2 linked regions of the Schizosaccharomyces pombe genome follow. Each later gene encodes a partner of the first gene's protein in a complex. Each region holds a gene or a part of one and is shown in the gene's direction. Other genes may lie near its edges. The genes, in order: naa20 and naa25.

Region 1 (3,348 bases):
AAGTTAGGTAAGTATGAGTTTGAGGTCCCAAAATTTGCAATTTCATTAACTTAAGTAGGAGAGGGAACATATGCGCATGTTTATAAGGGGCAAAATCGAGTGACTGGTGAAATTGTCGCTCTCAAAGTTATTCGTATTGATGCAGATGAAGGAACACCTAGTACTGCTATCCGTGAGATTAGTCTTATGAAGGAGCTTAGGCATCCCAATATTATGTCTCTCTCAGACGTTTTGCAAACCGAAAATAAGCTTATGCTCGTTTTTGAATATATGGAAAAAGATTTGAAAAAGTACATGGACACTTATGGGAACCAAGGAGCTCTTCCACCTTCTCAAGTAAAAAATTTTACTCAACAATTACTCAAAGGGATATCTTTTTGTCACGAAAACCGAGTTCTACATCGTGATCTGAAACCTCAAAATTTGCTTATCAACAGTCGTGGTGAATTGAAATTGGCGGATTTTGGGTTAGCCCGTTCAATTGGAATTCCAGTGAATACTTTTTCAAACGAAGTGGTCACCTTATGGTATCGTGCTCCTGACGTTCTTTTGGGTTCTCGAGTATATTCAACTTCCATTGATATTTGGTCAGTTGGTTGTATCATGGCAGAAATGGCTACAGGACGTCCTCTATTTGCTGGGTCAAATAATGAGGATCAGCTACTAAAAATCTTCCGATTATTGGGAACTCCTACTGAACAATCATGGCCCGGAATTTCTTTACTTCCTGAATATAAGCCTACTTTCCCTATTTATAAAGCACAAGATCTCGCCTACCTATTTCCAACATTTGATCCTCTTGGTTTGGATTTGTTACGACGGATGCTTCGTCTACAACCTGAATTAAGGACGACCGGCCAGGATGCGCTTCAACATGCTTGGTTTTTAACCGCATAGGCTGTAAATTAACATCAAAAAGTTTAACCAAATTACGATTTTATTTATTCATTTCAGTTTCCTATTGAAATCATTAATTTTTTTTTTGGAAAGAATGCATTTCACCTAGGGAAAGAGCACAATATTTTTGGACGTTCAAATTTCTTCGCAACTGTTTTAGCCCAAGTAGCTATCCCTATTGATCTTTTTTAAACGAGGTTTAGAGGTAAATATTTGGTTATTATTTTGAGAGGATTTGAAGCTGTCGAATATATTTTTAGCCAAGAATTAAACGGCGTTTTATTTTCTACGATTAAAATATCGTCGCTGATGACATTCAAGTCGTAAATGAAATACTTAAAGAATTGAATGATCCGCATTGCGTCTGACATTTTTATGAAGGAGCAAAAGGATAATATTCAAAAAGCAATGCGGGTTTTTAGTATACTGATAATAATTTGCGGATTTCAAGCAATTATCCGCAATGCACATGAAAAACAATCTTTTTTCACTTATTTTTATTAGTGGATTAATGGCTTCCTTCCCTATTATTTAACTGCATGAAGGGATTCTCTATTAATGTTCTCTTTAACCATTCGACATTTTATGTGGTTTCTGTCGTTCATTATTCTTTTTATTTACTTTCATCTATACTCCATCTTTTCAGTTTTGAGGCATCAATGGTAGGAGGTGACTAAATTTCTTTGAGTTTCGTTTAGGAAGAAGGTTCAATTTGTAAACATGAAATAATAATTGTGTCTTTTACAATTTCTTTTGAGTTTTTCTACTCGCTTGGCCCAGCAATCTATTGTTTAAGGAGATATACGGATTTGGCTTATCGTATTTTTACGACATCTTCTACCTCGCCAAATCTTTTAGTTTTACCCATACTGCTAGAATTTACATTACATGAAAAAATGACTGATACGCGAAAATTCAAAGCTACTGATTTATTTTCATTTAACAATATAAATTTAGATCCTCTAACGGAGACCGTAAGTTACCATCTACCGTACTTAAAGCGGACTTTCATTAACTCGAACAACTTTTAGTTCAATATTTCATTTTATCTCAGTTATTTGAACAAATGGCCTAGCTTGTGTGTTGTACAAGAGTCTGACCTATCTGATCCAACCCTTATGGGTTATATTATGGGGAAATCAGAAGGAACCGGTAAAGAGTGGCATACTCATGTTACCGCCATTACAGTAGCGCCAAATTCCCGTCGTTTAGGCCTTGCTAGAACGATGATGGACTACTTAGAAACTGTAGGAAATTCTGAAAACGCTTTTTTTGTTGACCTGTTTGTGCGTGCCAGCAATGCACTTGCAATTGACTTTTACAAAGGATTGGGGTATTCGGTTTATAGACGAGTTATTGGGTACTATAGTAATCCACATGGAAAGGATGAGGATTCATTTGATATGCGGAAACCACTTTCGCGAGATGTTAATAGAGAAAGCATTCGAGAGAATGGGGAAAATTTCAAATGCAGCCCAGCTGATGTTTCATTTTAGTTCACTCTCTTTTTACAAATCTATTAACTAGTGCAAAGGAAGAAGATTTTTTTTTATATTAGGTAAATGGTATAGTATGTACATCATATTAATGAAAATCAAAGTTCAGAAACGACTAATATTTGCTATGCTTTAAGACCTCGGTCCTTTTCCTTGCTTACATATTGATATTGTAAGTATTTGAAGTTTTTGATTAATGATTATGCAACTCTTTGGAACATTTTGATAATTTATCAATAAAATAATGTATCACTACACAATGGTTGAAATTTGCGTTCAGTTTCCTTTAGATAAATAGCAAATCGTCTACTAGTTACTTTATTTCTCTAATGTGAAATGGCAAACTAAATAACTTCTATTTATGTTAGCAATAAATCAATGAATGACTATACTACCCACTTCCATTCAGTCCTCTATACTTGCAAAATGAAAGACAAAACTATGTAAATACATGTAAAACATATCTTTACCAAAAATCGTAGCTACACGATCATCTGACTTAACAACTTTGCAAAAACAATTCACCACAGAAATATTTTTTTTAAACAAGTAGTAAGTAATTGCCAGCAATAACTTTTAACGTGAATTATTTTTTTAAAAGTAAAACTATCTGAAAAAAAATTTACATCATGAGCTTACAATATCAAAAGTTAAATAAAGAAATAAGAAAATATTCGAAGATTAAAAAGACGCCAGTTCAACGAAAAGAGAAGAGGCCTTTTATTTCAACCTTCTACTATATCGGTTGATTGAAAATTGACCAGAGAATTGAATGTATCTAACAGATCAGAGTGTTTCAACCTTTGTCCAACAACGGACTTTATACTGATAAATTTCACTTCATGGTTTTATTCAACCAAGTTCTTATACAAAAAGCACCTCTACAATTAAATCAGAAATCACACGCAACTTTACAGAAAATTGAGAAGGTCACAAATGAGTTATTTTATATCAA
Region 2 (5,830 bases), on another chromosome or scaffold:
GTAATTAAGGCTTTTATATTAGCTTGAGGATCAATTGTTTGTGGGGGTGATGAGTACTTGTTGTCAACAGCAGATTGAGCATTATTATCTGCGGAAATCTCATCCAATTTAGAAGACTTGGTAGAGGATATGCTTTGTTGATGAGAGAGTTGCTCAGTATTCACTAAAGATGGCTGAGTAACACCTTGTTCAATATTTGTATTCATTGCTGGGGTTTCACTTTTTGCGGATTCAATAACATCAGCGGGCAAAGAGCGTGGAAGATGAATCAAGTTGTATTGTTTACATATTGCAACTAAATGTCTTGCAATAACGTATTGATACATTTCAAGGTACCCAACATGGGCAGAATCAGCAAGATTCCATATTTGAGCGAGTACGGCGTAATGAAGTGAAGATTTTAAAAGAATAGGTTTTGCAATTGAACTTGGCATACAGCCTGGCCTTGCTGAATCTTCATGTCCTCGAAGATTTTCACGAAACTCCTTTTCATATTCGGAACGCTCGTCCGGGTTAATGGGGATACGGAAAGGGGTAAAATCAGCCGTTTCTGAAGATGAACGCTTAATATGATGGTCGTCTTTAGCTTGTTTTGGTAAAATTGGAGGATCTCCGGCTGATTAATGTTAGAATATAGCTAACTATTAACGCATTTTCATACCTTTATTATAATCTAGCTCTTGCAAAGTTGCTCCACGTTGAGCCTGAGAAATTAATCGAAAACAAGCATAAACCTGATTACGATCAAGTGATCCCTTATCCTCTTGATCACAATAATCCCATATCTAATAAATTGGCAGTTAGATATATATTTTTTCTTTTAGAAAGTGCAACGCTTTAATTTATAACATTCCACTCTTAGATTTAAACTCTAAACTTTAAGAGATAAAAACTGCTATCCCAAAGCTTTTGATTGAGGAATGAATTAAACATACCTTTGCTAATATCTTTTGAGGAAGACCAAACTTCAAAAGAAAAGGTCCAATAACACTTCCTGGGATTAAATCTTTCTGTTCTGGGTGGAGAGACTCAAGCAATCGGTCAAACTCCTGCTGTTCTATAGGGGATAACTGCAAAGGCTGCATATCCTATTTATGAATAAAAAAATAATTGCGGATAGTTAGATGTTAACAATTGTGAACTCTAACTCAATAAAACGTTTCTGATTTAAAACAAATACAAGTCATGAAATTAAACCTATCGGCGAATGTAACCTTTTATACAGAGAAAATAACAAAAAAAAAGCGCCTCTTTAAAGCCAAACGTTTAAAGAAAAATAATATGAAATTTACGCAAACAGGGCTGGATCGCGTAGATAGACTGAATTTTGGAAAATTAGAAGCAAAGCGATAAAGTCGGATCTCAAAGGAATAAAAAATAGTCCGTTGATTAAATTTAAAATACGCTAGTAATTCTCTAAACTTCGTCTGCGCTTTTCAACAATAATCAGTTAAACCGGCGGTTGGTGGAGAGCAGTTAATACTTGACAAGCATATCATTTACATCGCACCTCCTTAGTACGATTTATTTAACGATAAGTAACACCGTCCACGTGCTGACCAGCCTATTTGAAGAATAACGATATCATAGAGCTTACTGTAGGATTAATAAAAATATCATCAAAATGGGGAAAAAATTGAAAGATTATGAGAAGTATATGATTATTAAATAAAATAAAACTTTTAAGAATTGATACTGAGTTTTGATCTTTAAATTTAGTGGAGATACTCATTAAACAGCCTTATACCTAAATGAAAACTGAAAGGTTTACTGCGTTTACCTAGCATGCTTAGCAATGAATTAAAGGATTGCTCAATTACCTAGCTTTCTGAATATTACGCTAGCTTTCTACTCCCTTGCCATTGTAAAATACTTTTCTGGTCATCCCGCTGCTTTTCAATGAAACTGCTATTCATTGACAGCCTCTCAACAAAAGATGGGTTTCTCAAATTAAATGTACAAAAATTATGCATATTTTATATTTATTTGAGCACAAAATCACATTATATGACCATGCCGTGGATATACAACAAATTTTACAACACCAGGTATTTCTTTACGGCTTAAGGAAGTTTTAGTTATGACTGTAAATTGTACAGCTGTGAATATATTACTTAACCATAGTATACCCTTTAAACCAATGCAATTACACTTTTGCAGTAGATATATATCCAGATTCTACCACGCTGGCTATAATATTCTCCTCTGTAGAATAATAATTTGACTGCAACACCTACCAACTTCTGACTACTGTTTGGGCTTTAATTTCATTGCCTACTACAATGCGTCGTTCTGGGAGTAAAGAATCAACAATTGTAAGTAATCGAGTTATGTTTTTAGCTGTTAACATCCTTTTTAGGTTTATTCAGCGTTATCCTTGGCTCAGGCAGGACGTGGTCCCGAGGCTCTAGCACTTTTAGAACCGTTAAAATCGACTCCCATCAACAGCTTGGAACTTTTAGACATTATACAAGCTGTTTATGATGATCAAAAGAAGGGTAAGTATAATTAGGTTCTATTGAACAGATGAACATAAATGTTGATAGCACTTTGGTCGTATTTTTTATTTTGAATATTCTACTATTTCCTTGAGATAAAGGCTTTAGTTATTTGATCGGTTAAACTTTGCTTAAGAAAAACGATCTTTGTTCTTTTCGTAGCTTGATGATTCAAGTGCAACGTTTTATTTCTCAATGGACTTGTTTTTACCCTCTTACTTTTAAGTTATTAACTATTTGAAGGAGAAGAATCGTTTGTATTTTGGGAAAAGTTCTTGCAAACTTATGGAAAGCAGGAAAAAAACTTATTAGCTTACTTCAAAGCATCTATTCGCATCAAATCATTGTCTCACCAAAGAAAGGTAAGATCTTAATTTGTTTTTTTTTTACTAACTCCTCAGGCTGCTGTAGAATTGCAAAAGAACTTTCCTTCTAGGAAACATACCTTATGGGTTATCTCATCTTTGTATCTTTTGTCCAAAAAGTCGGAAAATGAGGTTGAACAACGTTTGCTGAAAGCACTAGCTGAAAAAACTGCTAAACTCATTTTCGAAAAACCAACAGGTTATATCGATTCTTGTGAGGAGTTTCATCTTTATTTAGACGTGTTGCTTTTAGTGGGAGACAAGGACAGAGCGTTAGATGCTTTAATACATCAAGATGCTGATCGCTTTGTTGATGCTGACGCCGACCTTCTTTTGAGGAAGCTTGAATTGCTTGCTTCCTGTGCGCGTTGGGATTCTTTATTCACGTTTTCGCTTTCTCTTTTCCAAACTGGGAATACTGATTGGAAGGTTTGCAAAGCTTTGCTGGATAGTGCTTCCAATGATGATTCAAAGTAAGTTTTTTTTTTTGCATTATTACTAACTTCTCCATAGATTAGTCCCATTAAAGGATTGTATATTGAAAGCGTTGTCAACCAGCAGCACAAAAAGAAATCTTCATTTACTTTGGATTGAAGCCAGCGCACGGTTTTTTCCTGAAGAACACGAATCAGCATTACTTGGCTATATCAAAAAGCTGTATATGAAACCAATTGTTTTTGAAGATTTGAGACCTTATCTATTGAAGCTGAATGTTGATGCACAACACCGGTTATTAGATGCATTTAAGTTGGCTGATCTAGGTGAATCCAATGAAGTAAGTATTTATTCATCTTTCAATATTAACTCGTCGTAGTCTCAAAAAGTCGATAAATTATATGCTGAGGTTTTGCTTCTGAAGATCCATTTTTTGCTCTTTGAGTCGTTTACTGCAGAATCGGTTGTCGATTACGTGCGTAGATGCTTCGTCGCATTTGAAAAGGGTTTGTCTTTAAGTAAAGGCTTATTACCCACTGACTTTACGCACGGTTATGAAGCTTTGTTATTAGCAGTTCATTCATTGATATATATGTGGGAGGGGAATAAGGATTTAAAACCTGCCGAAAAACAAGCTTTAATTTTTGACGCAATCTGTCTTTTAGAAAAAGGCATTACTTATAGTCAACATAACTTTCATTTAAAGCTACCCCTTATTCGTTTATATCTTCTTCTTGATGGAGGCTTCCCTGCTGCTGCTAAAGTTTACGACACTATGTCCATTAAGCAAATTCAAAACGATACCCTTGATCATTATCTCTTGACTCGTGCTACTACCTATTATCCATCTTCTGTTACTTCTCACTATATTAACTCAAGTCTCAAAATATATGGTTCGAATGAGTTTGAAACACCAGAGATGATTTCTATGGCTTATGAAGATGGTGCTTACTCTCAAATCGAAGATATGCGTAATTTCCGATCCCGTTTAGACCACAGTACCTGGAAAAGCATTTCTTTGGTCGAGCGGGCTAGGATACATTATCTTACCGCTTTTAAACCACCCAAACAGTATCTTCCCAAATGTTCATCTCCGAAAGATAATCGAGATTTAAAGGTCTTTGCAGATTATGGATCTGATAAATTGCCAACAGTTGAAGAAAGTTTAAGAAATTCGCCTAAACCGGACACGCTTTGGATCCATTTGACTGTCATTGGTCATTCTCTCGTTCAAGACAGCATAGTAAACGGCGATTTTGAAAAGGCCGTTTTAAGTGCTAAGGAAATGGAAGTTTTGTGCGAAAACAATGATTTATCGAAGCAATTAACTTCGGAAGAAATTGTTCATATGAAATTATTGATCCAACTGGGATTACTTTCGGTAAAGGTCAAGAACGGAGACTACGAAAATTCCTCGTTCGAAACGATTGAAAATTTAATTGAGTCATTCGATTATGAGAACTCCACGCCTTTAAGTCAATTGACAAAGTACACTGAAGTAAGTTTACCAAACTGGTTTTTTTTTTTAAAAAAAATGATATAAAAATTTCTAAACTAACCGAATTATAGATCATAAATGACCTTATCACTTGTCTAAACAGCTTCCTATATCACGTGTCAGCTACCAAGAAAAAAGAATTTACCAGACAATACCAACTTCTTAAAAACATCAGCAGTAACAAATTAGGAAGTATCTCTGGAATTACGAAGCATAAAAAGAAGGCCGCCAGAAAATATGTATCAGAATTGTTGTCAAACTCTTGGCTGAGCAATTTATCTGAAACTCAGGTACGTGATGATTATAGAGCATTAAAATTATAGGCATGAGAACTAACTTCCTAATAATAGGTTCCTTACGATCCGAAGTTTGCAAAACAAGTTGGTGAAGGAATGATCGATTCATACATTCAAACGACGGACGCAGTAAGCAAGCTTCCAAAATTTGTAAAATTTTAGGTAGATAATATTTAGAAACTTATAAATATGAAAATTTTTTATAATCGTTTGTTGTTTAGAATCTTGCTTCTTTCGTATGCAGAATTCAGAGAAGATGTGCCTGAACCTCTCTTAAAATAGACGTAAAGCATTATAGCTGATACCACACTTAGAGAATACCAAGTGATAATATATTCTGTATGACTGTTGAAAATTTCAACTTTTAGAGGATGACCAAGAGGCAAGCCTCTCTTAACATGATCGGCTTCTTGCAACGGTGTAAGCGATGGTTGTAGTTCTGTTATCAAAATGGGGAGAGTTCCTTTCAATTGTGCAAACTCACGAACATTTAAGAAGTAAAAAGAATTTTTTTCAGGCTCATTCTTCATCATAAATCTTGGCTTATCAGTATGTTGTCTCAAAAGACCTTCAATGACCACTGGACCTTTAGGTAAAGAACTAGGATCTCGAGAAGACTGTTCAGCAAATGATCGAGCAATCCATCCTCTGTTGACTAAAATTCGACGCCCATCGTCTAAAATAAATGGGGTTACTACGTGATAGCCAGGTTGGCCTTCCTTCGTTCTTGGACCGACC

Evidence for each region.
Region 2: naa20 (region 1) and naa25 share a complex: the UniProt entries of both Schizosaccharomyces pombe proteins name them as parts of the N-terminal acetyltransferase B (NatB) complex.

Annotation. Positions count from the first base shown.
Region 1 is NC_003421.2:687,775-691,122, forward strand, and holds naa20 (NatB N-acetyltransferase complex catalytic subunit Naa20), read left to right. Parts: upstream 1-1,753; 5' UTR 1,754-1,793; coding exon 1,794-1,871; intron 1,872-1,928; coding exon 1,929-2,393; 3' UTR 2,394-2,653; downstream 2,654-3,348. Other genes in the region: cyclin-dependent protein kinase Pho85/PhoA-like Pef1, read left to right, coding at 1-7, 59-897. UniProt on the Schizosaccharomyces pombe protein: Catalytic subunit of the NatB N-terminal acetyltransferase, which catalyzes acetylation of the amino-terminal methionine residues of all proteins beginning with Met-Asp or Met-Glu and of some proteins beginning with Met-Asn, Met-Gln or Met-Met.
Region 2 is NC_003423.3:1,505,836-1,511,665, reverse strand, and holds naa25 (NatB N-acetyltransferase complex regulatory subunit Naa25), read left to right. Parts: upstream 1-2,222; 5' UTR 2,223-2,282; coding exon 2,283-2,315; exon of another isoform or gene 2,316-2,359; coding exon 2,360-2,498; exon of another isoform or gene 2,499-2,741; coding exon 2,742-2,860; exon of another isoform or gene 2,861-2,899; coding exon 2,900-3,336; exon of another isoform or gene 3,337-3,376; coding exon 3,377-3,638; exon of another isoform or gene 3,639-3,677; coding exon 3,678-4,796; exon of another isoform or gene 4,797-4,867; coding exon 4,868-5,086; exon of another isoform or gene 5,087-5,146; coding exon 5,147-5,254; 3' UTR 5,255-5,281; downstream 5,282-5,830. Other genes in the region: UBA/EH/EF hand domain protein Ucp8, read right to left, coding at 1-616, 662-785, 936-1,085; cytochrome c oxidase assembly protein Shy1, read right to left, coding at 5,293-5,830. UniProt on the Schizosaccharomyces pombe protein: Non-catalytic subunit of the NatB N-terminal acetyltransferase, which catalyzes acetylation of the amino-terminal methionine residues of all proteins beginning with Met-Asp or Met-Glu and of some proteins beginning with Met-Asn or Met-Met.